7 linked regions of the Kluyveromyces lactis genome follow. The protein of the gene in region 6 purifies or fractionates together with the protein of the main gene of each other region. This does not show direct contact. Links are inferred from orthologs where the notes say so. Each region holds a gene or a part of one and is shown on either strand. Other genes may lie near its edges.

What was found.
Region 1: the proteins of UTP7 (region 6) and BMS1 purify together in Saccharomyces cerevisiae (affinity purification with mass spectrometry; 5 studies listed by BioGRID). This does not show direct contact. The link is inferred for Kluyveromyces lactis from reciprocal best matches to the Saccharomyces cerevisiae genes UTP7 and BMS1.
Region 2: the proteins of UTP7 (region 6) and UTP4 purify together in Saccharomyces cerevisiae (affinity purification with mass spectrometry; 5 studies listed by BioGRID). This does not show direct contact. The link is inferred for Kluyveromyces lactis from reciprocal best matches to the Saccharomyces cerevisiae genes UTP7 and UTP4.
Region 3: the proteins of UTP7 (region 6) and MPP10 purify together in Saccharomyces cerevisiae (affinity purification with mass spectrometry; 7 studies listed by BioGRID, with this or other methods). This does not show direct contact. The link is inferred for Kluyveromyces lactis from reciprocal best matches to the Saccharomyces cerevisiae genes UTP7 and MPP10.
Region 4: the proteins of UTP7 (region 6) and UTP15 purify together in Saccharomyces cerevisiae (affinity purification with mass spectrometry; 4 studies listed by BioGRID). This does not show direct contact. The link is inferred for Kluyveromyces lactis from reciprocal best matches to the Saccharomyces cerevisiae genes UTP7 and UTP15.
Region 5: the proteins of UTP7 (region 6) and DIP2 purify together in Saccharomyces cerevisiae (affinity purification with mass spectrometry; 4 studies listed by BioGRID). This does not show direct contact. The link is inferred for Kluyveromyces lactis from reciprocal best matches to the Saccharomyces cerevisiae genes UTP7 and DIP2.
Region 7: the proteins of UTP7 (region 6) and KRE33 purify together in Saccharomyces cerevisiae (affinity purification with mass spectrometry; 6 studies listed by BioGRID). This does not show direct contact. The link is inferred for Kluyveromyces lactis from reciprocal best matches to the Saccharomyces cerevisiae genes UTP7 and KRE33.

The regions. Positions count from the first base shown.
Region 1 is NC_006038.1:179,979-184,327, reverse strand, and holds the start of BMS1 (GTPase BMS1), read left to right. Parts: upstream 1-1,331; coding exon 1,332-4,349. Other genes in the region: KLLA0_B02090g (uncharacterized protein), read right to left, coding at 1-610. UniProt on the Saccharomyces cerevisiae protein: GTPase required for synthesis of 40S ribosomal subunits and for processing the 35S pre-rRNA at sites A0, A1, and A2.
Region 2 is NC_006040.1:1,131,409-1,135,734, reverse strand, and holds UTP4 (small subunit rRNA maturation protein UTP4), read left to right. Parts: upstream 1-1,457; coding exon 1,458-3,668; downstream 3,669-4,326. Other genes in the region: condensin subunit YCG1, read right to left, coding at 1-1,218; KLLA0_D13200g (uncharacterized protein), read right to left, coding at 3,751-4,326. UniProt on the Saccharomyces cerevisiae protein: Involved in nucleolar processing of pre-18S ribosomal RNA. Required for optimal pre-ribosomal RNA transcription by RNA polymerase I together with a subset of U3 proteins required for transcription (t-UTPs).
Region 3 is NC_006040.1:821,785-825,846, reverse strand, and holds MPP10 (rRNA-processing protein MPP10), read left to right. Parts: upstream 1-1,721; coding exon 1,722-3,548; downstream 3,549-4,062. Other genes in the region: AVT1 (Avt1p), read left to right, coding at 1-1,329; NOC3 (Noc3p), read right to left, coding at 3,648-4,062. UniProt on the Saccharomyces cerevisiae protein: Involved in nucleolar processing of pre-18S ribosomal RNA. Required for the early cleavages at sites A0, A1 and A2 during 18S ribosomal pre-RNA processing.
Region 4 is NC_006042.1:1,274,997-1,278,627, reverse strand, and holds UTP15 (snoRNA-binding rRNA-processing protein UTP15), read right to left. Parts: upstream 2,097-3,631; coding exon 534-2,096; downstream 1-533. Other genes in the region: SLD2 (Sld2p), read left to right, coding at 1-384; AIP1 (Aip1p), read left to right, coding at 2,656-3,631. UniProt on the Saccharomyces cerevisiae protein: Involved in nucleolar processing of pre-18S ribosomal RNA. Required for optimal pre-ribosomal RNA transcription by RNA polymerase I together with a subset of U3 proteins required for transcription (t-UTPs).
Region 5 is NC_006040.1:1,377,360-1,381,689, forward strand, and holds the start of DIP2 (snoRNA-binding rRNA-processing protein DIP2), read left to right. Parts: upstream 1-1,524; coding exon 1,525-4,330. Other genes in the region: TAF12 (Taf12p), read left to right, coding at 1-1,105. UniProt on the Saccharomyces cerevisiae protein: Involved in nucleolar processing of pre-18S ribosomal RNA.
Region 6 is NC_006039.1:803,955-807,865, forward strand, and holds UTP7 (Utp7p), read left to right. Parts: upstream 1-1,557; coding exon 1,558-3,234; downstream 3,235-3,911. Other genes in the region: KLLA0_C09240g (dihydroorotate dehydrogenase 2), read right to left, coding at 1-829; proteasome regulatory particle base subunit RPN2, read right to left, coding at 3,423-3,911. UniProt on the Saccharomyces cerevisiae protein: Involved in nucleolar processing of pre-18S ribosomal RNA.
Region 7 is NC_006042.1:2,271,902-2,276,231, reverse strand, and holds the start of KRE33 (ribosome biosynthesis protein KRE33), read left to right. Parts: upstream 1-1,355; coding exon 1,356-4,330. Other genes in the region: transcription factor NDT80, read right to left, coding at 1-496. UniProt on the Saccharomyces cerevisiae protein: RNA cytidine acetyltransferase with specificity toward both 18S rRNA and tRNAs. Catalyzes the formation of N(4)-acetylcytidine (ac4C) at positions 1280 and 1773 in 18S rRNA.

The sequences.
Region 1 (4,349 bases), on a different chromosome or scaffold from region 6:
ATCTATCACGATAAATCTGATCCTCATCGGCAACGATTGAAGTACTACCTTGTGCTTCCTGTAACATATATTTTGCATGGGCAGGAACCAATTCTTGCCTTGTATCTCTATCTATAACTGCATTAAACTGAGCCTTTTCTTTGATAATGTAAATTTTTTGATGCTGTGATCCATGTGAGTGCTGATGATGTTTTTCAGCATCGTCATGTGAGGAATCTTGCTTACTTTTCCGTAGGTATACCGTTTCTCCAGGGAAATAGTCGTTTTTAAATCTTGCATATACCTGTTCGACGAGCATATCTAGCCTTCTAATCTCGTTGAAATGGATGAATTTTGCAACAGGTTCACGTAATTTTAAAGGGAACATTTTCTCAACGTATTGGAACTGCTCTTCTTCACTGTTCAACGCTTCAAAAAAAGTTAAACATGATGTACCAGTGATCTCACAGGTGAAATAATGTCGCCTATAAAAATCCAATCGTTGCAAAAACTCTGCATAAGTCAAAAACCATTCCCCTGTCTCTTGAATGTACCATATTTTCCTATTGATATTTGACGGTAATGGCCTAGCATCTGGCAACGTTATCGTTTTCCTTTTATACAAAACCATTGCTCACACTGTGTATTCTATCCAAAAAATAAAAAGCTCAACAAGGAAACACACACCACTGAAGACTCTGTTATCCTAGCTTTCCTGCTTCAACTCAGTAAAAATTACACGCACACAGATTGGAAAGAATAAGAACAGTATGTGTTTTCTATGACCAAAAGATGTTGTCTCGTATCCACAACAATATAACTGGTGTAGAACGTACAGTTCTTGTTGTGAAATCCAAATCACCACACAAACGAACTAAAGATAAAAAACACAACAACTTTTAGGGAAACGAATGAAACAAACGACTTTTATTCGGAATCCAACCGTTGATTCATTGACCTTTGTTCTATCCTGTTCTGTTTGTGCATTTGATTGGATTTCGATTTCATTTTGATGTTCGAATTTCGATGAACGCTTTTTTTTCCATATGCCCTTGGGCCCTAGTTACTACGGCAGAGACATGTAGGAATATCTACAAAACTGACAGAATACCTTAAATTCTTAAAAATCAGATCACGTGCAGAATCACGTGATTAGATATCGACAAGGTTCAGATCATTTCTTTTTCTTACCCTGCATGAAAAATTGCATGAAGAAGCTCAACCATCTCATCTCATCTCATCGGTGAACATAAAAGATTCTAGTATCTTGAATTGAATCAAAAGGGTCACTTTAGGCCAGTTAGTTCGAATCACATTGCCTGAATACATCTTAAGACTCTCAAGCTTCAGCAATGGAACAATCGAATAAAGAACATAGGAAGCGGAAGGAGAAGGCTGGTGCCAAGAAGAAGTTACATTCTCAGGGCCACAATGCTAAGGCCTTTGCTGTCTCCGCTCCGGGGAAAATGGCTAAGCAGATGCAACGTACGGGTGATAAGAATGAGAAGAAGTTGCATGTTCCGATGGTGGATCGTACCCCAGATGATGATCCTCCTCCGATCATTATTGCTGTTGTTGGTCCTCCAGGTACCGGTAAGACTACTTTGATCAAATCGTTAGTGAGAAGGTTGACAAAGACCACTTTATCCGAAATTAACGGTCCTATTACTGTTGTTTCTGGTAAGCGTAGAAGGCTGACTTTTATCGAATGTCCTGCGGATGATTTGAATTCCATGATCGATATTTCAAAAGTGGCCGATTTGGTGCTTTTGATGATGGATGGTAATTTCGGGTTTGAAATGGAGACCATGGAATTCTTGAATTTGGCTCAACATCATGGTATGCCTCGTGTACTAGGTGTCGCTACACATTTGGATCTTTTCAAATCCCAGTCAACATTGCGTGCCTCTAAGAAATCTTTGAAACATAGGTTCTGGACCGAAGTGTATCAGGGTGCCAAGCTTTTCTACCTTTCTGGTGTTATTAACGGTCGTTATCCAGATAGAGAGATTTTGAACTTGTCAAGGTTTATAAGTGTTATGAAGTTCAGACCTTTGCAATGGAGAAACGAACATCCTTATTTATTGGCCGATAGAATATCCGATTTAACTCATCCAGAACTCTTACAATCGAAGGGTATGCATATAGATCGTAAAGTCGCCATCTATGGTTATTTACACGGTACTCCGTTACCTTCGACTCCAGGCTACAGGGTCCATATCGCCGGTGTAGGTGACTACCAGATCGATCACGTTGAGAAATTGCCTGATCCTTGTCCGACACCTTATTACCAACAGAAATTAGATGAATTTGAACGTGAACGTGCTAAGGAAGAAGGTTCCACATCAGCAACGACTGTAAGAAGACGTAAAAGATTGGATGATAAACAAAAGCTGATCTATGCTCCAATGTCTGACGTTGGTGGTTTACTTATGGATAAGGATGCCGTGTTCATTGATGTTGGCGGTAAGACAGGTCCAAACTCAATGACTGCAGAGGAAAAAGATGAAAGTGACAAGATCGTGTCCAACCTACAGGCTACATCTCGTTCCATTGATGAAAAATTCGAGAATGTTGGATTGCAGCTTTTCTCAAATAGTACTGAGTTACATGCTATTGAAGATCAGGATGAAGAAGTTGAAGAAGACACCGAAGACGAGGATGATGTTGATAGAGGAAACGTTGGTAGATCTTCCTTAAGAAAGGCAAGAGTATACGGCAAATCCCTTCAGGAATCTAACGCAGATCTCGATAATTTATCAAGTGACAACGAAAACTATAATGAAGATGATGACGAAGATGAAGCACATCGCACTAAATTAGTTGAAATTGATTTTGATGACGAAAAACCTGAAAACATGGCCTTTGAGACAGATTCAGAATTGGATGCATCTGATTCTGAAGGTTGGGAAAGAACCACAGCTGGTAAATTGAATGGTACAAAGAATAAAAGAAGAAAGTGGGATATCAGCAAACTTATCTACATGGACAACATTGCTCCAGCTGATGCAATCAAAAGATGGAACGGCGAGGCCGACGAAACTGAAGTTGAAGAAGATCTAGAAGACGATGAAGATACTGAATTCTTCACCCAAAAGACAAATACTACACCGAATAAGGCAGTAACTTACCACGATGATCTTGAAAGATTTATTCCTTATTTTGATACATTCAATGACCTTGTTGAAAGATGGTCAACTGCCGATTCAATCAAAGACAGATTTGTTGGAAAGCCATCCTTAAACACCAAGTCTTCTGATGATGTAAAGGATGAAGACGATGATGAAGATGAAGTATACGGTGATTTTGAGGACTTAGAAGCTGAGCCTGAAAACACAGATGAGAAGGAGGAGAATTCTGCTGCAGGAGATGAAGAATCTGATAGCAACGAATCGTTCGCTGATTTCGAAGAAGAAGAAAAGAAGGATTTGACCCAGGATGAAGAGCGTGAATTGAATGCCGCAAAAAAAGAGAAATTAAGGTTACAATTCGAAATGGAAGAAGGAGACAACTTTGGAGAAGACCCTGAAAATGAATACGATACCTGGTACGAATTACAGAAGGCTAAGATTGCTAAACAATTAGAAATCAATAAAGCCGAACTGGAATCTATGACTCCTGAACAAAGGCAACAAATCGAAGGTATGAAAGCTGGGTCTTATGTTCGTATTGTCTTCGATAAGGTTCCTATGGAATTCATCGAAAATTTCAACCCAAAGTATCCAGTAATTATGGGAGGTCTTCTTCCCACAGAATTGAAGTTCGGAATTATTAATGCAAGAGTCAGAAGACATCGTTGGCACAAAAAGATTCTCAAGACAAATGATCCTTTAGTTTTATCTCTTGGTTGGAGACGTTTCCAAACTCTACCAATATACACCACTAGTGACTCTAGAACCAGGACTAGAATGTTGAAGTATACTCCAGAACATGCTTATTGTACAGCTTCTTTCTATGGTCCCTTGTGCTCGCCAAATACCACTTTCTGTGGTGTTCAAATAGTTGCTAACAGTGATACAACTGGAAGTTTCAGAATAGCTGCGACTGGTATTGTAGAGGAGATCGATGCAAGCGTAGAAATTGTGAAGAAATTAAAGCTTGTTGGTTATCCTTACAAAATCTTCAAGAACACTGCCTTCATAAAGGATATGTTCTCTAGCGCTATGGAAGTTGCACGGTTCGAAGGTGCCCAAATCAAGACTGTTTCCGGTATTCGTGGTGAAATCAAGCGTGCTCTATCAAAACCAGAAGGCCATTTCAGGGCAACTTTTGAGGATAAGATACTATTGAGTGACATTATAATTCTTAGGTCATGGTATCCAATCCAAGTTAAGAAATTCTACAACCCAGTTACTTCATTGTTGCTAAAA
Region 2 (4,326 bases), on a different chromosome or scaffold from region 6:
CCTCTGTTCAAATAGTGCATAGAGTGCTTGTTCTGCATATGTAGAGTTCACAACGTCAATGTTCTCCAATAAATCGATGATGTCACCGTCCAGGATGTTCAACCAGGTGAAGGCAACTAATTTTTTACAAGAATTTCTAACCGTTTCATCTCTATCTTCAAACCCCCAGGTCATCAGTTTCTCTAAAATATCAGAATCCACCTCATCGAACGTATGCTTCCCCAAACTCTTTAGTACTCTTGTAAACACCAATCTTCTATTGATGAAATTAACATCTCGTACCCGTTCCAAGATAACATTCTGGGTCGCTTTCGAACGTACAATATTCAACATTGCTGCCCTCCGAACTTCTGGACTTGGATCATTCCTAATGATATGCATTAAACTCTGTGTAGCTTCATCGAGTTGGAAATTTACTCCGGTTTCTGATTCATTAATCATCGATACGTTATCGTTTTGAAATTTTGTCAAACAAAATATCGCCTGTATCCTAACATGAGGTTCCTTGTCATACACCCTATGCTTCAAAACCCACATAATCAACTCGTACAATTCCTCATCAATTTCTCCCATATTATCCATAGTTGCGGCCAAAAGTTGCATTACTCTGTATCGTACGTTTTTATTTTTCGATTCCACTCCTCGAAGCAGATTCCTCACAAATCCATCAATAAATCCTCCGAAATGTACTTCCAAATTCCTCACATTTTGCTCATTACCATCTTCGGTTCTCATCTTGTTAAGATTCGACTCTATATTTGCGATGAACCCTGAAATCAACCGAACAATGCGATCCCCCACGATTTCCTGTTTCTTCAGCGGCAAGATTTTGACAGTCATTTTGATAAACCAATAATGAAACACATCTGATATCTCTTGCTCCACACATTTCAAATAAATCCTGTATAAGACAGCTACATGACGTCTGTGACCAGCATAACTCTTCTGCGCCACCTGGAAAACCTCCGCTATAGAATTCAGAACACGACGATTTGTAGGAGATTCTCCATCCTGAACATCCATATCAAACAATTGCACCCTTTTGGTCAATAATACCACGAGTATACACCAGGGAAAGGCTGCTATGAGGTTGCCGCCGATGTTTCTTCCACTTTCCTTTTCCTCTTTGTTTATTAGTTTGTTTATGTGAAGAGAAGATCCAATTGTAAACAAATCTCGTTTTCCCAATAGATCTAATATATCACGTGATATGATCATACTGTACGGTGTTGAAGCTAAACTAGTTTCTTTTTGAAAAATTTCAGCGTTAAGAGCACACAAGCTTAGAACAGAAGCTCATCTCATCGGATAACAAAGTCGTATATTTCTATCTAGTCAGTGAAGTTTTTTGATTGACATCAGCCTACAGTTTGTCAATCTTTTGTTTCATTCTAATACATTAGCTTTTGTTCTCTGATACAGGTTTAAGGTCCTCAATTTATAGAACACATTTGATCATGACTGATACTGGGAAGAAACAGGTAGTGCATCGATCCAGGTTTGTGCAGTTTACACCTGGTAATATAACGGCTCTTGCATTTTCACACAAAAGTACTGATAAAGCGGCACCGCAAGAGCTAAGACTGGCTATTGGTAGATCCAATGGTAATATTGAGATCTGGAATCCAAGAGATGATTGGGTACAAGAGTTCGTGATCTTGGGAGGTGAAGGAAGATCCATTGAAGGTCTTTCCTGGTGCAGTATTCGTGGAGAGCCTTTGAGACTATTTTCGATCGGTGGCTCCACTGTAGTTACAGAATGGGATTTGACAACCGGGTTGCCGTTAGTAAATTACGATTGTAACTCTGGTGTGATTTGGTCCATTGCAATGAGCAACGATATGAATAAGCTAGCGGTCGGATGTGATAACGGCAGTGTAGTACTTATTAACATCAGTGGTGGTAAAGGTGTTCTTGAGCATGAGAGCATACTTACAAGGCAAGAATCTCGTGTCTTATCGTTGACATGGACAGCCAATGATGAATCTTTGGTCGCTGGTTGTTCTGATGGAAGGATTAGAATATGGTATACTAAGGAGCAAGACGAAAACAAGGGAAGACTATTACATACTATGAAAGTGGATAAATCGAAGAAAGAATCTACACTCGTATGGTCTGTGTTGTATCTAGCTAAACAGAACCAAATTGTGTCTGGTGATTCTACTGGGTCGGTCAAATTCTGGGACTTAAACTACGCAACATTGACTCAATCTTTCAAGGTTCATGATGCCGATGTTCTATGTCTGGCTACTGATCTGGATAATTCACAATTGTTCACTAGTGGTGTTGATAGAAAGATTTTCCAATTCTCTTACATCGATACAGGAAAGAGCATGAAATGGATCAGTACTTCAAACAGATTATTCCATTCCAATGATGTTAGATCTATGTCCTCTTATCAATGTATGGGATCCGACTTCCTAGTGTCTGGTGGTATTGAAAAGTCTCTTGTCATGTGCTCAATGTCCTCTTTCGCTGAAGGAAATTATAGAAAGATGCCACTAGTTACCCCATTCCATAAGAGCATCCTGGTCAACAAACAACAAAGACTATTGGTGATGTGGCAGGATAATATCGTGAAGATATGGTATATTGGCGAAGACGTCAATGAGCCTAAGAACTACAAATTAGTTAGTAAATTGGTTTTGAAGGATGAACAAAACATCCAAACCTGTGCACTATCAACTGACGGACAAGTTTTATTAGTGGGAAGACTAAATACTACCAAAGTTTTCCATTTACAACCAACAGACAACAAATTGAAAGTAACAAAGTTGGACAATGAGTTTTTGTTGAGAACTGGTTGCAAATTTGCTAAGTTCATTGATGATTCTAGGTTAATAATGTGTTCACAATCTGATGAAATAGTTAGAATTGACCTTGAAGAGGATGACGACGAAAAAACCGTAACTATTGAGTTACCTGAAGCGAACTCAACGAAATCCAGCAATAAACTATCATATTTGAATGCAGTGAACCATTTAGATGCAAATGAACGTTACGCTGTTGCGTCTAGAGGTACCGGTGCTCTAGACTTAATAGATTTGACAACAAACAGTAGTAAAGCTTTAATTCGCATGAACAACTTCATCACTGCACTGTGCATCACACCAAGAGAGACTGTAGTAGTAGTGACATCAGAAAATAAAATATACGAGTTCAATTTGGAATCCGAGAAGGATCAACTACTCACTGACTGGTTCAAAGCCAATCATGAAAACCTCCCAAGGCAATTTACTTCCTTGAAAGAGAGATGCACAGGAATATTCTTAGATGAAATGGATGAGCATAAGGTATGGTTCTGGGGATCTAACTGGTTGGTTAACATCAACATGTCATTAGACTTGCCAGTTAGCAAAAGAAAGAAGCAAAAGAAGCGTGACCGTGACGGATTAACTATTTCCACTGACGGTCTACAGGCAGACGTCGATGAGGATGATGAAGACGATGAAGAACTCGAAGTTAAGGAAGATTATCTCTTAAAAACTCAGAGAGCGCAAGATGTCACCTCCAAGAAGAGATCTGATAAGGCGTTTTTCTATACCGATAAGTATAGACCTCTATTATTCGCTGGAAAGATCGCAAGTGACCAATTAATCATTGTGGAAAGACCAAACTTCTTGATCTCCCAACCTCCTGCATTTGAATTAGAAAAGTTAGTATTCTAATTTATAATTTCTGTACATTATTATAAACTCGATCTTCATCGCGAAATTGATTTTTAACATAGGGTCATCATTCCGCCGCATATCATCTGTGTAGTGTTCTTTCTGCTACCTTAATACCAATGAATGTCAAGAGCGAACTGCAAGCGAACATTTTATCAGACCAGACGTCGATTACAACATCAGGAATAGTGAATTTCTCACCCAAGAGTTGATTGACCTGTTTTGAGACATCATATGGTAAATTGGAGCGAATCATCAAGATAGTGGCAAGGATGTACACACCTGTCAACTCACACACAGCGAGGTTTTTGATGATCGAAGGGGGTTTCTTGGTATAGAATGCATCCTTATTGCTCGTAGGAAGCTCAGAGCCATTGGTACTCTGCATTGCAGATAACGCTAATAATTGTAGTTTGACAGGCAGTAATGTCAAAAGATAAGAGATTGTCGTAGTGACAGTAGAAAGAGAGCACACGAACAACGAGATGGACAATATCAAGGATATCTGTTTGATTAACGAATCCATGTCATTTTGATGTTCTAATCTTAGAACCAAGAAGTCAAACATATTGGCGAATGTGACAGCTAAGGGGTCCTTTTCAGTACTTTTATTGTCGAAGAATTCATAACTAAAATCTGTTGGAAACTTAAATGAGTG
Region 3 (4,062 bases), on a different chromosome or scaffold from region 6:
CATGATTCGATGGGTCCGCATCATTTAACTGAATACAGCTTCGATGATTCGGGCAATGCCGTTGGTCCAGAAGCAGATGCAATCATTTTGAAACAAGTTGAGACGAAGGCTGGAAAAGTGATCACTGTCATCGCTGGTCAATCGACCGCACCTCAGACAATTTTCAACTCAATCAACGTGCTAATCGGTATCGGACTATTAGCATTACCATTGGGTCTTAGATATGCAGGATGGGTATTAGGTGTTCCAATCTTATTCATTTTTGCATTTGCTACTTTTTGTAGCGCTCAGTTAATTTCAAGATGTTTGGATGCAGATCCATCCATTTCGACTTACGGAGATTTGGCATATGCAGCTTTTGGTCCAAAAGGTCGTGCATTGATCTCGTTCCTATTTGCTATGGATTTATTAGCATGTGGTGTAGCCTTGATCATTTTGTTCGGTGATTCATTGAACGCGTTGTTCCCAGAATATTCGGTCAACTTCTTCAAATTCGTCGCTTTTTTTGCAGTTACTCCTCCAATATTTTTGCCATTAAGTGTTTTATCAAATATCTCTTTGTTGGGTATTATCTCGACTATTGGAACTGCATTGTTAGTAGTTTTCTGTGGGTTGCTAAAACAATATTCACCAGGGTCATTATTGCAACCAGAAGCCACATCGATGTGGCCCAATTCATTCAAGGAGTTTTGTCTTTCCTTAGGGTTATTGAGTGCATGCTGGGGAGGTCACGCAGTCTTTCCCAACTTAAAGAGTGATATGAGGCATCCGGAGAAGTTTACTCGTTGTTTGAAGACCACTTATAGCATCACCATTGTTACTGATATCGGAATTGCTGTCGTTGGATTTTTAATGTTCGGTAATCTTGTTATGAATGAAGTGACAAGAAGTGTGTTATTGACTCCAGGATACCCGCCTTTTGTTTATGGCCTAATTTCAACTCTTCTTTCACTGATTCCACTTGCCAAAACACCACTTAATGCAAGACCGATTGTCTCCATCTTTGATTCAATGTTTAACGTAGTGCACATCGATGAAACTAAACCAGCATCGAAGGTTTTTTTCGCAAAGGCAACCAGAATATTTAACAGAATCATGGTGAATGTTATGTTCGTGATTATTGCTATTTTATTCCCTGAATTTGACAAAATAATTGCATTCTTGGGTGCTGCACTTTGTTTCATGATTTGTTTCATTCTGCCATGTTTGTTCTACAAAAGAATTTGCTACAAAACCATTAAATCTTGGGAATTGATAGCGTGTAATATTACGATATTAATTAGTGCAGTATTATCCACTCTTGGAGTATACGCCTCCTTCACCTCATGAATTACCTACAAATGCTGTTGAATTTGCCAGCACCTCATTCTTGTATATGCATCTACGTGTCTTTATGCAAAATTTTAGCACCCAAACTAAGGGAATCACACTTCATATAATGACTTTTCACCCATATGTACTTCTGTCTAGTATTCATCACCCAACCAATGCCTCACAACTGTGTCTATTATCTCTCTTCTTACCCGCATTGGCGACAGTTCCCATCATTTTTTTCTTTTTCAAATTTTTGGATACCTGAAAAATTGATGAAAACTCATCTCATCGCATCACTCAGCATGTACGAAATATGCGTCTATAGTAGCAGCTTGATCGTATCGATACATCCACTACAGCTACACCAGTAAATAGGTAACGTTTCACTGACCCACACATAACACAACATGAGTCAGTTTTTGGAAATTTTGAAAACTAATCCTGTTGGACTTCTTTCCCAGGATGCTCTGGAGTCCAAGGAACCACTATCGGCAGTGAAGACTTACTTTGACGAAGTCATCAATCTGAATAAAAACAATGGAAATTCAAAGACAACATTAGATGAGATAGTGGTTGATGGGCTAGATGCTAACCAGGTATGGTGGCAGTCAAAAATCATTTTAGATAATGTTCAAGGTGATATCATGGAAAAAATCGCCGAACTGAAGGTTGATAATGAGAATGATATGAGCGAGGAAAGCAGCGGAGACGAAGATGATGCCTCTAATGTTGAAAATTCCAATGAAATGTCTGCAGACGAAGCTCCAGTTTCTGAAGAGTCTGCTATTGAAGAGGAGGAGGAAGAAGCAGAAAATGAAGAGCTCGTTTTAGATGAAGAACAACAGTTCTCAGAACCAGAACCTTTAGAATTACATGAGAAGGAAGAAGATAAATTGGAAAACGAAAGTGATTCGGAACCTGATGATCAATTTGTAGAAGCACAAGAAAGTCCACAAGCGATCGAAGACAAGTTTGGTGTAAACGATCAATTTTTCAATCTAGATGAATTCAATAGACAAACACTTGAGGCTGAGAATAGAAGCCAAGATGCAGATGAAGAAGATGAGGATGACGAAGAAGTTGATTATTTCGCAGATGTTCCATCGGAGGAAGATGAAGAAGCTCTATATTACGACGATTTCTTTGATAAGCCATCTAATAAAAAATCTTCCCAGGACAGGCGGCCAGGACCTTCAAAGAAAGCAGAGGCCGAAGAGGATGAATCCTTTGACGAAAGCGAGTATGATGATGCAATGGAGGAAGCTAAGTTAGATCTTTTTGCTGACGAAGACGATGATTTTCAGGGATCAGATGAAGAAACTGCTGAACAACCATTATCTACCTTTGAACGTCAACAACTTGAGCTAAAAAGACAAATAGAATCCCTCGAAAAGGAAGCTGTTGCTGAGAAGAAATGGGCGTTAAAAGGTGAAGTAAAAGCTCGCGATAGGCCAGAAGATGCCTTGTTAACGGAAGATCTTGAGTTCGAAAGAACTGCCAAACCTGTGCCAGTTATAACAGCTGAGGTAACAGAAACTCTCGAGAATATGATCCGTAGAAGGATCAAGGAAGAAGATTTTAACGATCTACAGAGGAGGGTTATCAGCGATATTTCAGGCTACAATAATAAACCAAGATTCGAACTAAGTGATGTAAAGTCATCAAAATCACTAGCTGAAATTTATGAAGATGATTTCAAAGGTGTTACCGAGGATACTGAAATATCAGAAGAATTACAGAAAAGTCACGATGAAATTTCAGAGCTATATAAAGATTTGGTTTACAAACTAGATGCATTATCGTCAGCCCACTTCATACCTAAGCCGATAAAGAAAGATCTTGAAGTAAGAGTGCAAACCGCCGCTATTTCTATGGAAGATGCACAACCACTAACAATGTCAAGTGGTTCCACATTAGCTCCTCAGGAAATCTACAAAGTTGGTAAATCAGAGAACTCTAATGAAATAACTTTGAAGAATGGTGTGGTGATGTCCAGAGATGAACTGTCCAGAGAGGATAAAAACAGACTCCGTAGAGCTGCTAAGAGAAAGAGATCGAAGCTATCTGCGAAAAGAGCCGAACAACCTAGAAAGAAGAGTAAGACGGATGATGTTCTTAATACCTTGACTAAATCCAAGAACATAACCGTTATCGATAAAAAGGGTGCCAAAACTGATGTTAAGGGTAATATAAAGAAGGATAATGCATCTGGTAACATCAATTTCAAGTTATAGACACTGTTACAGTAAGTATATATTACTATAATTAATGCAATTGCATTGAAATGAAGGTGGTAAATAAGAGAATTCTTAATTATCTTTTTATCCCCCAAACTATTTATGTTCTTGAGATTTATGGAATAATGATCTTACACCTTTTACAACAGAAGGACTGTAATGCTTGACAAGAAGGCTATTTTCCCATATAGTTGCTGCTTCTGCATTACTTCTACTTGGTAAGTCTGTGTCGATGCGGAACTCCCCATTTCCAATTCTATCGTCTGTAGAGTATAAACCCAGTACTTCTGGATATTTGGTAGTTAGTTTATCCAAAAACTTCAGCAGTGCAATTGATGTTTTTTCTGGAGTGTGCAGCAAAGCCATGTAAATTCTCTTTGTGAACGCAGCAGCTCTTTGTTTAGTGCCAGATTTTGATCTGAAAAAGACATGATCAAGGGCTTTCAACAATAACTCTGCTTTTGTTGATACGTTAACTGATGGTTTGACGAGTTCATTATTCAAGGGGTCG
Region 4 (3,631 bases), on a different chromosome or scaffold from region 6:
GAAGAACATATGGATATAATTGAAGAGGGGGACGAGGGAACTGTCGGCAATGAAACTGAGAGCAATTATGTGCGGAAAGTTAAAACCATAAAGAAAAGAACAAAAGCGAAGATGAGACCAGCAGCATTAAACGAGAAGTCGACCAACATTCCAGACAAAAATGTTCATGAACAGCTAGCAAAGTTGAAGGAACGTGAGTACAATAAAATGCTGGGTAAAGAAGTGGAAGAAAGTGAGTCTGACTCTGAACAACAATCCAATCCACCCGTAAAGAAGAAGCAACGTAAGAGTAAATACAACCTTGTTAGCAACAACTTCAAGCGTTTGAATCTTCCAACAAAGGCAGGAAGAAACAGAGCCAGTAAATGGAGAGGAAGAAGGTGATTTCTTCAAAGTCAGAACGTTAAAAACAAAGAAACAGACGTAACGAACGGGATGATACAGTTGTTGCAGTCTATGTACTATAAATGTAAATAAATATAATCTTTTACACGCATTCCTTTTTGTTATAGATCAGTGTAGAAAGGATTTTATCAGTTTGTTAACAATTGGAGCATACCCTCTATCTTTTGTGCTTCTTTTGCTTTGCGGATCTCTTCCCTTACTCTTTTCTTTAGAGTGATTACCATCTCTTCAAGTACTGGGGACTTCTCCAGTACACTACCGTAGAGTTCAATTACAACCGCAATCCAGTCTGCAACAATTGGTGCACTTCTAACATCTTCTATTCCCTTCAAGCACCAGTTGAGTAGTGGTTCTAGAGAACTTTCGTCTCTACCGTATAATGCAACCTTGATTTTACCTCTTTTCCTTAGTTCTTGTAATACCGTTAAAGTTAATTCTTTAGCCATACCGGGGATAAATGCAGAATCTAATGCGTCAGACCATTTGAATTGGTTGATATGCCTTTCGAATTGACGCAACTTACGCTGAGGATTTGGCTTATCGTTGTGTATAATATGCTCTTGATCACCTCTGTATTCGGACCCTCTCATCATTCTCTGGAAATTGTTGGATTTCGCAGACTTCTCTTGCTGTTGTAATGGTAAATCCTCCAAATCAGAGACATCAGCGAGGTTAATCTTTTTGGACTTCTTCTTCGTCTTGATGGCTAGAATTCCTGAGGATAAACCTGCAACGAAATGTTTATTACCTTGCGCATCGCCTGGTGAGACTGCACAACTTAGCACAGCGTTGCTAAACTTCCAGCCAAACTTGAATTGGAAGTTCTCCAACGGGGAAAAGATCTTAACATGACCATCAAGCGAGGATGCAACTAGTACGGAACTCATTGGTGATTCTTCTCCCATATTTGTGTAATTCAAACAGGTGACCGTCTTTGCGAAATTTTGACGTTCACAAAGGGCTCTATCGCTAGTCAAGTCCCATACTTTGAACCCGTTACCACCACACGATGCAAGCTGAGTAGGAGATATGGCTGTGATATCTTCCACAGGAAGACCGTGATCCAAAGTTGTCTGTGGTTTATCTGATTTCGTTCTAATATCGTACAATCTAACTACTCCATCGTACGACCCTGTAGCGACCATATGTGGAGCATTTGGCACAAAGCAGACTGATCTAACATAATCAGATGCTCCAGTTAACTGTAAAGTGGGTTCATAAGCATGAGAAACATCCCATAGTCTCACTACTCTATCGTCGTTTGCCGTCACCAAAGTCTTGTTATCCTGATCGTGAAACTTCGTCACATGCGTAGGATGCGACGAAGCTTGTATAGAAAGCAACAAAGTACGTGGATTATAACTATCATAAACGGACACTAACCCAGTAGCGTCACCTGCTACTAAAAGTTTACCGTCTTGACGGAAAGTGGCCGAATGCACCACATCTTTAAACCTAGAAAACGTCTTGATCACTTGTCTTGTCCTTGACGAGAAGACCTGTACCCTAGTAGAAGAGGTAACTGCAAAATCATGTGGATGCTGGGGATTGAAGGCAATATGAGTCACTGCATTGTGCTCTTTAACAAGCTGAGTAGATGAATAAGACCTCCAGTACCTCTGCTCTGGGGTGGTCTGCTTTGGTAACACAGGAGCCTTTACCGGCGTCACTCTAGGTCTCACAGACGACATTTTCTTCACAATATTTCTACCAATCTGATCGCCTGAATCACCTCTATCACTTAACAGTAGTCTGACGATACCAAACCGACTGATATAACTCGCAAATTACAGGGAAATCTATTTTATCAACCATGCGATGAGCTAAGGCTTCAATCATTTTTTTTTTCCAAAATCTGGTTTCTTTTCTTTGAAGACTCGAAGAATCTCGTTGATTGTGATTTTTCAGAGAAGAATAACCGTTCACTGTACTTTACAAGCAGATAAAGGGCCTTTAAGGCCCTTTATCTGCTTTTAACCTGGTTTCCCAGATTTTCTTGATTCCCAGGTATTCAGCAATACCACTTTCATTATACTAACTGGTATTTAGGATATCTTTTCTTTGTATTTCTGCATCCCAGTAGTTATTATTTCGTCTATTTACATTCCATATGTATGGAATTTATTTATACTCACCAGTTTATCAAGAAACTAAACCATGAGAACAGGACACGTTTGAGTCAGGAAGAGGTCTTTCTGGTGCGTTTACAGAGTGTTCCAAAAGTCAATTGATCTAGTATCTCGCGATAATATGGTTTCGATTAATTTAGCAAAGGTTTTTGCACCTCTCCCTTCTACAAAGAGAAACTTTACGACACATTTATCATATGATCCAAAGACTGACAGTTTAGCTTATGGTAGCGGTAGATCTGCCATCATTAGATCTTTAGATGGTGAACATGTCGTTCAATTCAATGGCCATGGTACCAGTAATGTCACTGTTGTAAAATTTTCTCCTATCCAGGGGTCTCAATATGTTGCTTCAGGAGATGATTCCGGTAGAGTTATCGTTTGGTCTTGGAATCAGGACGATAAGTCTGGAGAAATTGAGTACAACGTTAAGTCGGAACTACATGTGCTCGCTGGTCCTGTCGCTGATATATCCTGGGATTTTGAGGGTAAAAGATTGGCTGTTGTTGGTGAAGGTCGTGATAGGTTTGGTGCGTTTGTCTCTTGGGACTCGGGCAACTCGTTAGGTGAAGTCTCGGGTCACTCTCAAAGAGTCAATGCAGTTCATTTCAAGCAAAGCAGACCAATGAGAGCTTTCAGTGTCAGTGATGATGGTTCTGTTGTGTTTTACCAGGGTCCACCTTTCAAGTTTGCAAGCAGTGATAGAACGCATCACGGCCAAGGTAAATTCGTTAGAGACGTCAAGTTCTCTCCAGGTGCAGGGAAATATGCTGTGTCTGTCGGTAGCGATCGTAAGATATGTTGCTTTGATGGTAAGACTGGTGAATTTATCAAATACATTGAGTCTGAAAAGGCTCCAATTGGCGGTGGTTTGTTTGCTGTCGCATGGTTAGACGATGGTGAAGAGTCTTCTAGAGTTGTTACCGTGGGTGCTGATTGCACTGCAAGGTTGTGGGATGTGTCGTTGGATGATCCATTCCAACAGTCTTGGAAATTAGGTGCAGATGTTTCGAATCAAATTGTCGGTGTTGTTGTCACTAAGGATAACTCCATCGTAACATTGACGCTTGATGGGACCTTGAGCATTTTGTCTCTAA
Region 5 (4,330 bases), on a different chromosome or scaffold from region 6:
CTTTTTGAAGAGAAATATTAGTGTTTTGGACCAAGAGATCAGGAATAGACGAGGTAACAGTCTATCGGTGCAGCAATTAGAGGTTAACAGGAATGAATTATTAATGAAAATCAGGGCATTGAGTGCCCAGTATTCGACATTACAACAGAAATATCAAGAGGACAGAAGAAAGTTTTACATTGAGTGTTCTCAAACTAATGCTGACTTAAGAAGATATCTACAAGCACAGCAACAAAAAGCTAATGCTGCTAAGTCACAGGGTACAGTAGCTGCAAATGCAGGTACACCGGGACCTCAGGCTGGTGTTTCTACTCCAGGAACCAACACCGGTACACCAATTCCAACAAGTTTGAATAAAGCTTCGAGTGGTAGTCCTCCAAATGCTATGGCGCAAAGACAAAATATACCAATTCAAAAGACCGCTGCAACTACTGCAACTGCAACAAACGCAAACCCGAGCTCAGCAGCTGCCGCACCAAATAACACAGCTTCTGACAAATCGTCCCCAATGCAGGTGACAACGGTGAATGCAGCTGCAAATCAAACAGCACAAAGCAATACAAGACCACCAATCTTCAAGCAACCAAACCCATCGATACCAATAAGTGAAAATGTCACCGCATCCCCAACAGTTTCAGTGTCATACAGAAGCAACAGACCTACGATAACAGGCGGTAGTGGTATGAACGCGCCAGCGCTAACTACACCTGTTATGACCAAACTACCGCCATATGAGGTCGATACTGAGCGTGTGATGTCTAAAAGAAAGCTCCGTGAACTCGTCAAAACGGTGGGTATAGACGAAGGTGATGGTGAAACCACCATTGATGGTGATGTGGAAGAGCTATTACTCGATCTAGCAGACGATTTCATTACTAATGTTACGAATTTCGCCTGTAAATTGGCAAAACATAGAAAATCCGATTCACTCGACGTAAGAGACATCCAAATGCATCTGGAACGTAATTGGAATATCAGAATCCCAGGGTTTGCCAACGATGAAATCCGTAGCACCAAGAAATGGAATCCAACCCCTTCGTACAATCAAATGGTAAATGCAATCAATAACAATAAAACTGCACGTACACATCCCGAAAAGAAGTGAAATGGATAAATTACCACTGTTTAAACAAGTTCATTCATTCAAACAGACTTAATTTGATGCATATATTATACATCATATATCATATATCTATTAATGTAACAATTCCTCAAAATATTGAAAATGGAGAAGTGGATGAGTACCTACAACAATGCATAATCAAGTCCAGGGAAACTGATTCTTAATACTCTTTGTCCTATTCTGCCTGTCTCATATATGTATAAACCACCCTTTTCTTTTTCATGGCTTCAAGTTGTATTTTTCAAAATTTTCCAAAACGTTAAAAACTATGGAAGGTCATCTCATCTCATCGCATAATGCTGTTCAAGAACAAGTATAACAAAACTTATATACTATAACCCTGTGTAAGATATCAGTTATTGCTACTATTATCCGCAGTGTGGAGTTTAAATTGATACACAATGGTTAAATCGTATCAACGTTTTGAACAAAGTGGTCTTTTTGGGTTAATTTCTACTTCAAATCAGTCGATCTATCTTCCAGCTACGAACTCAACGTCTGGCAAGCTAATTACAGGTGCTCTGGAGAATATTCAAATATGGACATTGAAAACTAATGAGGTGGAAGTACTTACTGATGGGCTACCTATCGGTGCAGTAGAGACTAATATTTCTAAACCTTCAGTAGTAACTGCGATGTGTTTCCACAAGGAAACAGAGTTGTTATGTGTTGGTTACGAAGATGGTGTGATTAAAGTGTGGGATCTGCTTTCTAAAAGTGTATTGATGCAGTTTAACGGACACAAGAGTGGTGTTACCGTGTTGAGATTGGATTCCGAGGGTACTAGATTAGTTTCTGGTAGTAAAGACAGTGATTTGATCATTTGGGATTTAGTCGGTGAAGTTGGTTTGATGAAACTCAGATCACATAAAGATGCCATTACTGGTATCTGGATAGACCATAATATGGACTGGCTTATTAGTGTGGCCAAGGATGGTCTTATCAAGGTATGGGATCTTAAGGCTGGTGGTCAGTGTGTTGAGACGCATATGGCGCATACTGGTCAATGTTGGTCGATGGCAATCGATGAGGAAGTCATAATAACCACCTCGATGGATTCACAGGCCAAGATATGGGAATTAGATTTAGAGAAGAGTAATGGAGAAAAAATTTCAGAACGTGGTACTTTCGAGACCGAAAGTAAGCAAAGAGGTGTTTCCACTGAATTTATCACAGCACCAAACGGTACCAGGTTTTTCTATATCCAGAATAACGACAAGACAATAGAAATCTTCCGTATCAGACCGGAAGAAGAGATCAGGAAAGCTCTTAATAGACGTGAAAAGAGGCTAAGGGATAAGGGGGCCTCTGAAGAGGAAATTCAGGAGGCGGTTAACCCAAATGATATCAGCGTTTTATTCCATTCGTTCTCCACGGTACGCTCAAGTTACAAAATTAAATCCTCCAACTGGATTCAAGCAAGTAATAGCAAGTTGGAAGTGGTTCTCACAACTTCTAACAATACCATTGAAAGTTATCAAATTCCATACAGTAAAAGAGATGCAGAACCACCAGTGAGAAGGTATAACGTCGAATTACAAGGTCATAGAACTGATATCAGATCTATGGACATCAGTGATGATGGGAAACTATTGAGTACAGCATCTAACGGAGAATTGAAAGTATGGAATCTAACTACAAAGAAATGTATCCGTACCTTTTCCTGTGGTTATGCGTTGTGTTCCCAGATGCTACCTGGTGGATTATTGGTGGTTGTGGGTACAAGACAAGGTGAACTTCAGCTATTTGATTTGGCTAGTTCTACATTACTATCTACTACAGAAGCACATACGGCAGCAATCTGGTCATTAGATTTGACTAGCAATGGTAAAAGACTGGTCACTGGTTCAGCGGACAAAAGTTGTAAATTTTGGGATTTCGAGGTTGTTGAACAATTGGTCCCAGGCACAAAGGATAAATACATTCCTCAACTTAAATTAGTCCACGATACGACTTTGGAACTAACTGATGATATTTTGGCTGTTAAGATATCATCAGAAGATAGATACTTAGCCGTTTCATTACTAGACAATACTGTGAAAGTATTCTTTTTCGATTCTTTGAAGTTCTACTTAAGTCTTTATGGTCACAAACTACCTGTACTTTCTATTGATTTTTCTGTAGATTCCAAGATGTTAATTACTTCATCAGCAGATAAGAACATCAAGATCTGGGGTGTTGACTTTGGTGACTGTCACAAGTCCATATTTGCTCATCAAGATTCTATCATGTCAGTAAGATTCGAAGCCGACACTCATAATTTCTTCAGTTGTGGTAAGGATGGTGCTGTCAAGAGATGGGATGGTGACAAATTTGACTGTATTCAAAAGCTCAATGGTCACCAAAGTGAAGTGTGGTGTATTGCAGTGTCACCAGATGGAAGAACCGTTGTGTCTACTTCTCATGATCATAGTATTAGAGTATGGCAAGAAACTGACGATCAGGTATTCTTAGAAGAAGAGAAAGAAAGAGAGATGGAAGAAGAGTATGAAGAAACACTATTGAAATCATTAGAAGGTGGATCAGGAGACGATCAGTTCCTTAGGGACAAAAACAGTGGAGATGACGGAGTGATTGATGAGGTTAGTGGTGTTAATAAGCAAACTCTTGAGTCTTTAAAAGCAGGTGAAAAGTTAATGGAAGCTCTAGACTTAGGTGTAGCCGAGATCGAATCCTGGGAAAATTACGAAAAATCTCTTAAGTCATGGAAAAAGAAGAAAAGTGGTGAACCACCAATGAAACCTCAAAGTAACGCCATCTTAATTGCCATGAAAATAAAACCGGAAAAATACATCATGGACACACTAGGGAAAATTAAACCATCACAACTCGAAGATTCTTTACTTGTGCTCCCATTCTCATATGTTATCAAATTCTTCAAATTCTTTGATGTGATAATGAAGCAAAAAGATTTAGTGTTGTTACATCTAAGTCTCATTTGTAAAATCCTATTCTTTATAGTTCGCACGAACAATAAGGAATTAGTCGCTCAAAAGAATGAAGAATTGAAACAGAGAATTGAAAGAGTGAAGACCAACATCAGAACAATGTTGCAAAAAAATGCAGACGATCTTGGGTTTAACATCGCCGGTCTTAACTTCATCAAACAGCAATGGAACTTAAGACATAACTTGGAGTTCACTGATGACTATTCGCAGTTAGAGCATGAGAAAAAGGTTGCAAAGAAGAGAGTTTTCGAAACTGTTC
Region 6 (3,911 bases):
CGACTTGGGTCAATAGATCAGTAAGGATGGATTCTTTTTGTAAACTTCTCAAACCCGGGGTATTTGGAGAAGACACATTAATTACTAGAACATCTGCGTACTTTTGAAAGCTTTCTACACCTTTCAAATAATCTTGCACTTCATCACCGGTCTTATTCTTACCCAAATTGACCCCCAACAATTTGTCTTTGTATAAGGACAAGTTTTCAACGGAATTGTCCTTAAACATGTAACTGTTGATGAAACTGGTAATACGGGATTGTAATGTGTTGACAACGGTGTCATGGCCGGATGAATTGAAACCGTATCTGTTGATAACAGCATCATCCAAAGGTAATCTAAAGAATCTAGGTCTTGGGTTTCCTGGTTGTGGTAATGGAGTCACAGAACCAATCTCTATATAACCGAATCCTCCGGAAAGTATACCGTCGATGGCATCACCATTTTTATCCAAACCGGCAGCACAACCAATTGGATTGGTCAATTTCTTACCAAAAATGTTCACATTCAATACCTTATCATCGTTATCGAACCATAATCTTGGAGCCAACCCATTCTTCAAGAACCAGATACCTAATTTATGCCCATCTTCAGCATCTGGCGTTACAAGTCTCAACATCGGGCACAAGACGTACTCATGGAAAGCAGACCTCGAATTGGAGAAATAGAATCCCGCAAATGAACCAATGGCTATCCCAACAGTGTACTTCAAAAGCTTAGGGCCAGAAATGCCTGCTTTCAATGGGACCATGCCATTCTTGACAAAGAACTGCGATTGATTTAGCGTAAAAAGTTTCTTGCTCAAAATACGTGGGAACCCACTATTCATAGTTGATAAAAGCAAAATACGCGGTATTCGGAGTGACCTCTACTTGCCTATTCCAATCTTGTATAACAAGAGAAAAGAACAACGATACACGATCTAGCTCTCTATTCATTGCGGGAGGACCAAAACATTAGTTCAAGTTCTTCATTTTCATTTCATTTTTCAGTTAAGACTCGACGGAGTGTTTTCCGGAAACACATCTGTGAGGAACAAAAGTATGTGACTAGCAGATGCCTGGTGCAATTAGCTCAGAGGTCACCATTGCATATTAATTTGTACTTTGATTTAATTTCTTTTAGATACCTATCATATGTCTAGATGCATAGAAGGTAGTATACTACTTTACACCGGTACTACAGGATGCAGATCAAGTGAAAAATACTCAGGGAACTACTCTTAACTACTCTTTCAAGAAGAAATGATTGCTATTTTGGTTAGAAATCGTTTGGACTCATTGGGTTTGGTATTTATAACTGAATTTCCCCACGTTTTGGGCATGTACTATGCGCCGATTGATCTATTTATCAGTCATATACAATTCTTACTTGGTAATGTCTATCATTCTTCAGCTCAACTTAAGGATTTTTTCTTTTTTTCTCGAGTATCCAATATCGAAAATTTTAAGAAACGATGAGATGAGATGAGCTTCACAATATAAGGTTCTGCAAGTTTACTGCTACATCTTCTGATATCAGGTATCACTTCACGAGAAGCCGAATCAATATTCAATAATGGTTGCTAAGAAAGGTAGTAAGTCACAGTATAGTGACCTACAACGGAGAGACAATCAGGACAAATTTGAGAGATCGAATAACGATGATGATGCCAACGGGTCTCACAAGATGCAGAAGAAAACCAAGGATAAGAAGTTAAAGGCAGGATTGAAGCGTATTGATCAGAAGTATAAGGAAGCGGTACTCTCTACTGCTGCTACAGAATATCTTTTACCCGAAGAGCATGGTTATTTAGAAGCAGAAGATGAGATGGAAAAGACGTTCAAGTTCACACAGGCTGAAATCAAACACCATGTTGACGCCTCCATGGCCAATAAGGCATTGGACTTGAAATTAAACGATTTTGGTCCGTACCGTGTAAATTATTCCAGAAATGGTACGCATATGCTTATTGCAGGTCGGAAGGGCCATGTAGCATCTCTTGATTGGAGGAAAGGTGAACTTCGTGGTGAGCTAAATCTCGGGGAGACAGTGCAAGCAGCAACATATTTGCAAAATGAACAGTTCTTTGCAGTAGCACAAAAAAAATACACGTTCATTTACGATCATGAAGGTGTAGAGCTGCATCGTTTAAAGCAGCACATAGAGGTCAAACATTTAGAATATTTACCATATCATTATCTCTTGGCAACAGCAGGACAAACAGGTTTTTTGAAATATCAAGATGTTTCGACAGGTCAACTAGTATCAGAGATCAGAACTAAACTAGGTCCTACTACAGCGATGGCTCAGAACCCTTGGAATGCAGTAATGCATTTGGGACATAGCAACGGCACAGTCACTCTATGGTCACCATCAATGCCATCACCACTGGTAAGACTATTATCATCTAGAGGATCAATAACAGGAATTGCTGTAGATAGACAAGGTTATTATATGGCCACCACTGGTTCCGATAAATCTTTAAAGATTTGGGATATCAGAAACTTTAAAGAAGTACATAGTATTGAGAACATGCCTACGCCCGGTACTAACGTTGCAATTTCAGATACAGGTCTACTTGCAGTATCAAGAGGGCCTCATGTAACAATTTGGAAAGATACGTTGAAAAGTGGGAAAGCTGCTAGACCGTATTTCACCTCTAGCGGTTACAAAGATAGAAATACTCCGTATATGTCTCATTTATTCGCTGGAAATAAAATAGAGAACTTCCAGTTTGCGCCATTCGAAGATTTGCTAGGTGTTGGACATCAAAAGGGTATAACCAATTTGATTATTCCAGGCGCAGGGGAAGCCAACTACGACGCACTAGAGGCCAACCCATACGAAACAAGCAAACAGAGACAGGAACAAGAAGTGAGATCATTATTGAATAAGTTACCTGCTGATTCTATAACATTAAATCCAAACACAATAGGTACAGTAGATTCTCGTGCTTCTCAAGTCAGATTAAATGCAAAGGATCTTGCAATTATCTCGAATGCAGAGCAAGAAAAATCCAAACTAAACAAAGACATTCCTGATGCCAGACCTGATGTTAAAGGTAAGAACTCCGGATTACGTGCGTTCCTACGAAAGAAAACTCGTAATGTTGTGGATGAAAGGAAGTTAAGGGTACAAAGACAACTAGAGAAGGAAAAGTCTAGCCGCCAAAGAAAAGAAAAAATTAAGAAGGGTGAACTTGCTGATGATCACAAAGACCTTGTTGATGAAGCCTTATCAAGATTTTCTTGAATCATCAAGTAGTTATCAATATGTATACTTACATGAACACTTATATAATCTGTTATTATAGCCGGCTTAGTATCGACTGTTGCAAAAACATGTTTGAATTATTTGCATATAGATACGACTTAGTTTGAGGTGATTATTTACTGTACATTATGAAGGATGACCGCTATTGCTAGGACCTAATTTCTCGATTAAAATTCAAGAGAATCCTCGACTTTAAATGAAGATGGTAATGGGGCATATATATCTTTTGTTTGTCTTACGGTCTTGATTAATTCTAGTGGTTCTTCAGGTGTCTTATCCTCAACGATAATGACACCTGAGTTTCCTCTGAATTTGCGAACAGGTACAAAACGGCTATCTTTCGCAAAAGATATGAATTTGAGTTGCTGCGGAAGCACACGGGTGAGGTTTTCAACATCATAGCTCGTTGTCGTGTATTTGATCTTAGCTTCTTCAGTATTCTTGGCCTCTTCCTTCTTTTTTTCCTCCAGTTCCACCTCTTGCTTTTCTTCATTTACTTTTTCTGCATCCTTTTCTTTAACCTTTTCATGTTCTCCTTTTTTACCTTTCTTAGCTCTTGCCTTGGCCTTGGCGGTAGTTGACAAGACGGCAGCTGCAAACTTTTCTATATTTTTGTCCACCTCTTCTTCGTACATGCGAGGATAGGTGAAAATTCC
Region 7 (4,330 bases), on a different chromosome or scaffold from region 6:
TTGCAGTGTGTTGAACTAGGTTAATCAATTTATCATCTTCCAAACACTTGGCGGCTAATTTGGTAGCGAAGTATTTGATCTCCACACCGTTATCTAAATGATACGCTTGTTTCATGAACTCGATATGATCAGTCCCCGGTGTGTCAAATGAAGTTACCACGGTGAAATAATTTCTTTTATAACCAATCCAATCGTCATCTATGAAATCAAACCCTCGATCAATCCGAGGCTCCAATTTGATTTCTTGAATCTGTCCAAAATCGTTCAATATCTTGTGATTGGGCACCACTGGCGTAAAGCCTGGGCCTATTTTGAACTGCAATGTTGACCTTGGAGCAATACGAACTTTTCTCTTGTCAAAATGACTACTTAATGACCCGTCAGCGTTCCTAAAAGTTTTGATCACGTCCCCGTCAGCATTATCAAGTGTTTCCAAAAATTCGTTCTCATCTATATTGATATTCTCATCGTTCAGATGGTCCAAATCCTCCATCATAGCAAGTTTGATCACATAAAACTATACTCTGTTCCTATTAAAAGAAAATATAGTTAGCTCTCACTCTCCTCCTGGCTATTGCTATGGAATAACCGCCGAGCTTACCTGAATGACCACGAAAAAATAAAACCAAAATAAAACCTAGGAATCGTACGTTCCGTATAAGAGATAACCACAACTGCGCTTGTTCAGGTAAAGAAACAACCTTATAATCGAACCTCGTTCTGATGTCAGTTCTTAACCTCTTATCTTATTCATCGGATCTATTTCATAAGAATATTGCCCTTATTCCTTGTGACACAAAAATACTGGTATTTATATAATGTTAGTTTTTCCCTTTTCGTCAGTCATGAAGAAAACTTTAATTAATACCCATGAAAACTACTACTGAAGTTTAAATATGAATTTAAAATATTAGTCGACATCACATAATGGTGCATTATGCACACGTAGTCATTTCTTGAAATTAGCCGCCGAAATTACACTGCGCATGAAATTCATGCGGGTAACAGTATATTTTCATCAAATAATTCCGGGTAAGTAGTATCTTTTCTTTTCTCTGCCTAATTTTTTTTTTTTTTTTTCATTGTCTTTTTACTATTTCATCGTATTAGGTAGGAATTTTATTTCGAGATGAGATGAGATCAAATGAGATGAGGTGGTTTGCTGAGAAGCTATCTGAGTATTACGAGACGTTTATTTCTCCCCAAAATACCTGATTACTGTACTTCGTTACTACAAAAAAAATCATTAAAAACACTAACTCTTCCCAACGGTCGAACTTCCAGCGAAACGTAACTGTCATTGTTTGTTGTTAAAGAGTGTGTTCTTAAAACTTTAAACCAGAAGTTAGATTACGATGGGTAAAAAAGCTATTGATTCTCGTATCCCAGCTCTCATCAGAAATGGTGTTCAAACAAATCAGAGATCATTTTTCGTTATCGTTGGTGACAATGCTCGTAACCAGCTACCGAACTTGCACTATTTAATGATGAGTGCTGACCTCAAAATGAATAAATCCGTGTTATGGACGTATAAGAAGAAACTCTTGGGTTTCACTTCACACAGGAAGAAGAGAGAAGCAAAGATTAAGAAAGAGATCAAGAGAGGTACCAGAGAGATAAATGAACAAGATCCTTTTGAAACTTTCATCTCTAACCAAAACATTCGATACTGTTATTATAAGGAAACTGAAAAAATTTTGGGTAACACTTATGGTATGTGTATCCTACAAGATTTTGAAGCTTTGACTCCAAATTTGCTAGCAAGAACCATCGAAACCGTTGAAGGTGGTGGTATCATTGTTATCATGTTAAAGTCCATTTCCTCTCTAAAACAGTTATACACTATGACTATGGATATCCACTCTCGTTATAGAACGGAAGCTCATGACGATGTCGTGGCAAGATTCAACGAAAGATTTATCTTGTCCTTGGGTTCGAATGAAAACTGTTTGGTAGTAGATAGTGAGTTAAACGTTTTACCTATATCTGGAGGAAAAAACGTAAAACCACTTCCACCAAAGGATGATGAAGAAATTTCACCAAAAAATCAAGAACTAAAAGAATTGAAAGTGTCTTTAGAAGATGTTCAGCCTGCGGGATCATTAGTTGCTCTTTCAAAAACGGTTAATCAAGCTCATGCAATCTTGACCTTCATTGATGCCATTTCAGAGAAAACTTTAAATTCAACTGTAGCATTGACGGCAGGTAGAGGTAGAGGTAAATCAGCTGCTCTAGGTATTTCTATTGCTGCTGCTGTATCCCATGGTTACTCCAATATCTTTGTAACATCTCCTTCCCCTGAGAATTTGAAGACTTTATTTGAGTTTATTTTCAAAGGATTTGACGCTCTAGGCTATCAGGAGCACATTGATTATGATATCATTCAGTCCACCAATCCAAGCTTCAACAAAGCCATAGTCAGAGTAGACATCAAGAGAGAACATAGACAGACCATTCAATATATTATTCCAAATGATTCTCATGTGTTGGGACAGGCAGAACTTGTTGTCATTGATGAAGCTGCCGCAATTCCACTACCACTTGTAAAGAAGCTTTTGGGTCCGTACTTAGTGTTTATGGCATCCACTATTAACGGTTATGAAGGTACCGGTAGATCTTTGTCTTTGAAATTGATTCAACAGCTAAGAACTCAATCCAACGGTACTGGCCGTGAAGATTCCGAAACAGCACTTGTTTCCAGAGATTCAAAGAAACAAGAAGTTCAAACAAGTGGCCGTTCTTTGAGAGAAGTTGTCTTAGATGAACCTATCAGATACGCTCCTGGTGACCCAGTTGAAAAATGGTTGAATAAATTACTTTGTTTGGACGTTCAACTAATCAAAAATCCAAGATTTGCTGCTAGAGGCACACCTCATCCATCTCAATGTAATTTATTCATCGTCAATAGAGATACTCTATTTTCTTATCATCCTGTTTCTGAAAATTTTCTGGAGAAGATGATGGCTCTTTATGTCGCATCGCATTACAAGAATTCTCCTAACGACTTGCAATTAATGAGTGATGCACCTGCTCATCAACTATTCGTTTTATTGCCTCCCATCGATCCAAAAGATGGCGGCAGAATACCTGATCCCTTAGTGGTCATCCAGGTCGCATTGGAAGGTGAGATCTCGAAGGATTCTGTCAGAAATTCTTTGGCAAGAGGTCAAAGAGCTGGTGGTGACTTAATTCCATGGCTAATCTCACAGCAATTTCAAGATGAAGAATTTGCCGGTTTGAGTGGTGCCCGTGTTGTTAGGATTGCAACCAATCCGGAATACGCCTCTATGGGTTATGGGTCTAGGGCTCTGGAGTTATTGAAAGATCATTTCGAAGGTAAATTCACCGATTTGAATGAAGATACGGTACAAAAGGACTACACAATCAAGAGAGTCGATGACAGGGATTTGAAGAAAGCAGACCTCTTGAAAGATGAAATCAAATTAAGGGATGCAAAGACGTTGCCACCATTGCTTCTGAAACTCTCAGAACAAACCCCTCACTTTTTGCATTACTTAGGTGTTTCATATGGTTTAACAAAATCTTTACATAAGTTCTGGAAAAACAACGGATTTGTCCCAGTTTACTTACGTCAAACAGCGAATGATTTGACTGGTGAACATACATGTGTTATGGTTAAAGTTCTTGAAGGTCGTGAATCAAAATGGCTGGCAGAATTTGCCAAAGATTTCCATAAAAGATTCTTGTCTTTATTATCGTTCGACTTTAAGAAATTCACTGCCATCGAAGCGTTAAATGTCATTGAATCTGCTAAGAAGGGTGAAACACTAGACCAAGACTCGGAGGGCAGATCGTTCCAGAATAAGGTTTTAACAAGGGACCAATTGGATTCCATCTTTTCTCCATTCGATCTAAAGAGGTTAGAAAGCTATGCTAACAACTTACTGGATTATCATGTCATTGTTGATCTTCTACCAATGATGGCATTGCTATACTTTAGTGGAAAGCTGGGTGACGGTGTATCATTATCAAGCGTACAATCGTGTATACTACTTGCAATTGGTTTGCAACACAAGGGCATTGATGACATAACGAAAGAGTTGAACTTACCATCCAATCAAACTATTGCCATGTTCTCCAAGATTATCAGGAAATTCACCAATTTCTTCAGGGAAGTTTTAAGCGAGTCTATTGAAAAAACCTTACCTCAAATCAAGGACCAAGAAATTGCCGAAATGAATGGCGAAGAAGTGTTGTCTTACAATGCTGCCGAAGTCATTGACAAAATGGAAGATGACCTTGAAAATGCAGGGAACGAAGCTATCAGCGCAATGAGAGAAAAGCAGAAAGAATTGATCAATTCCTTGAA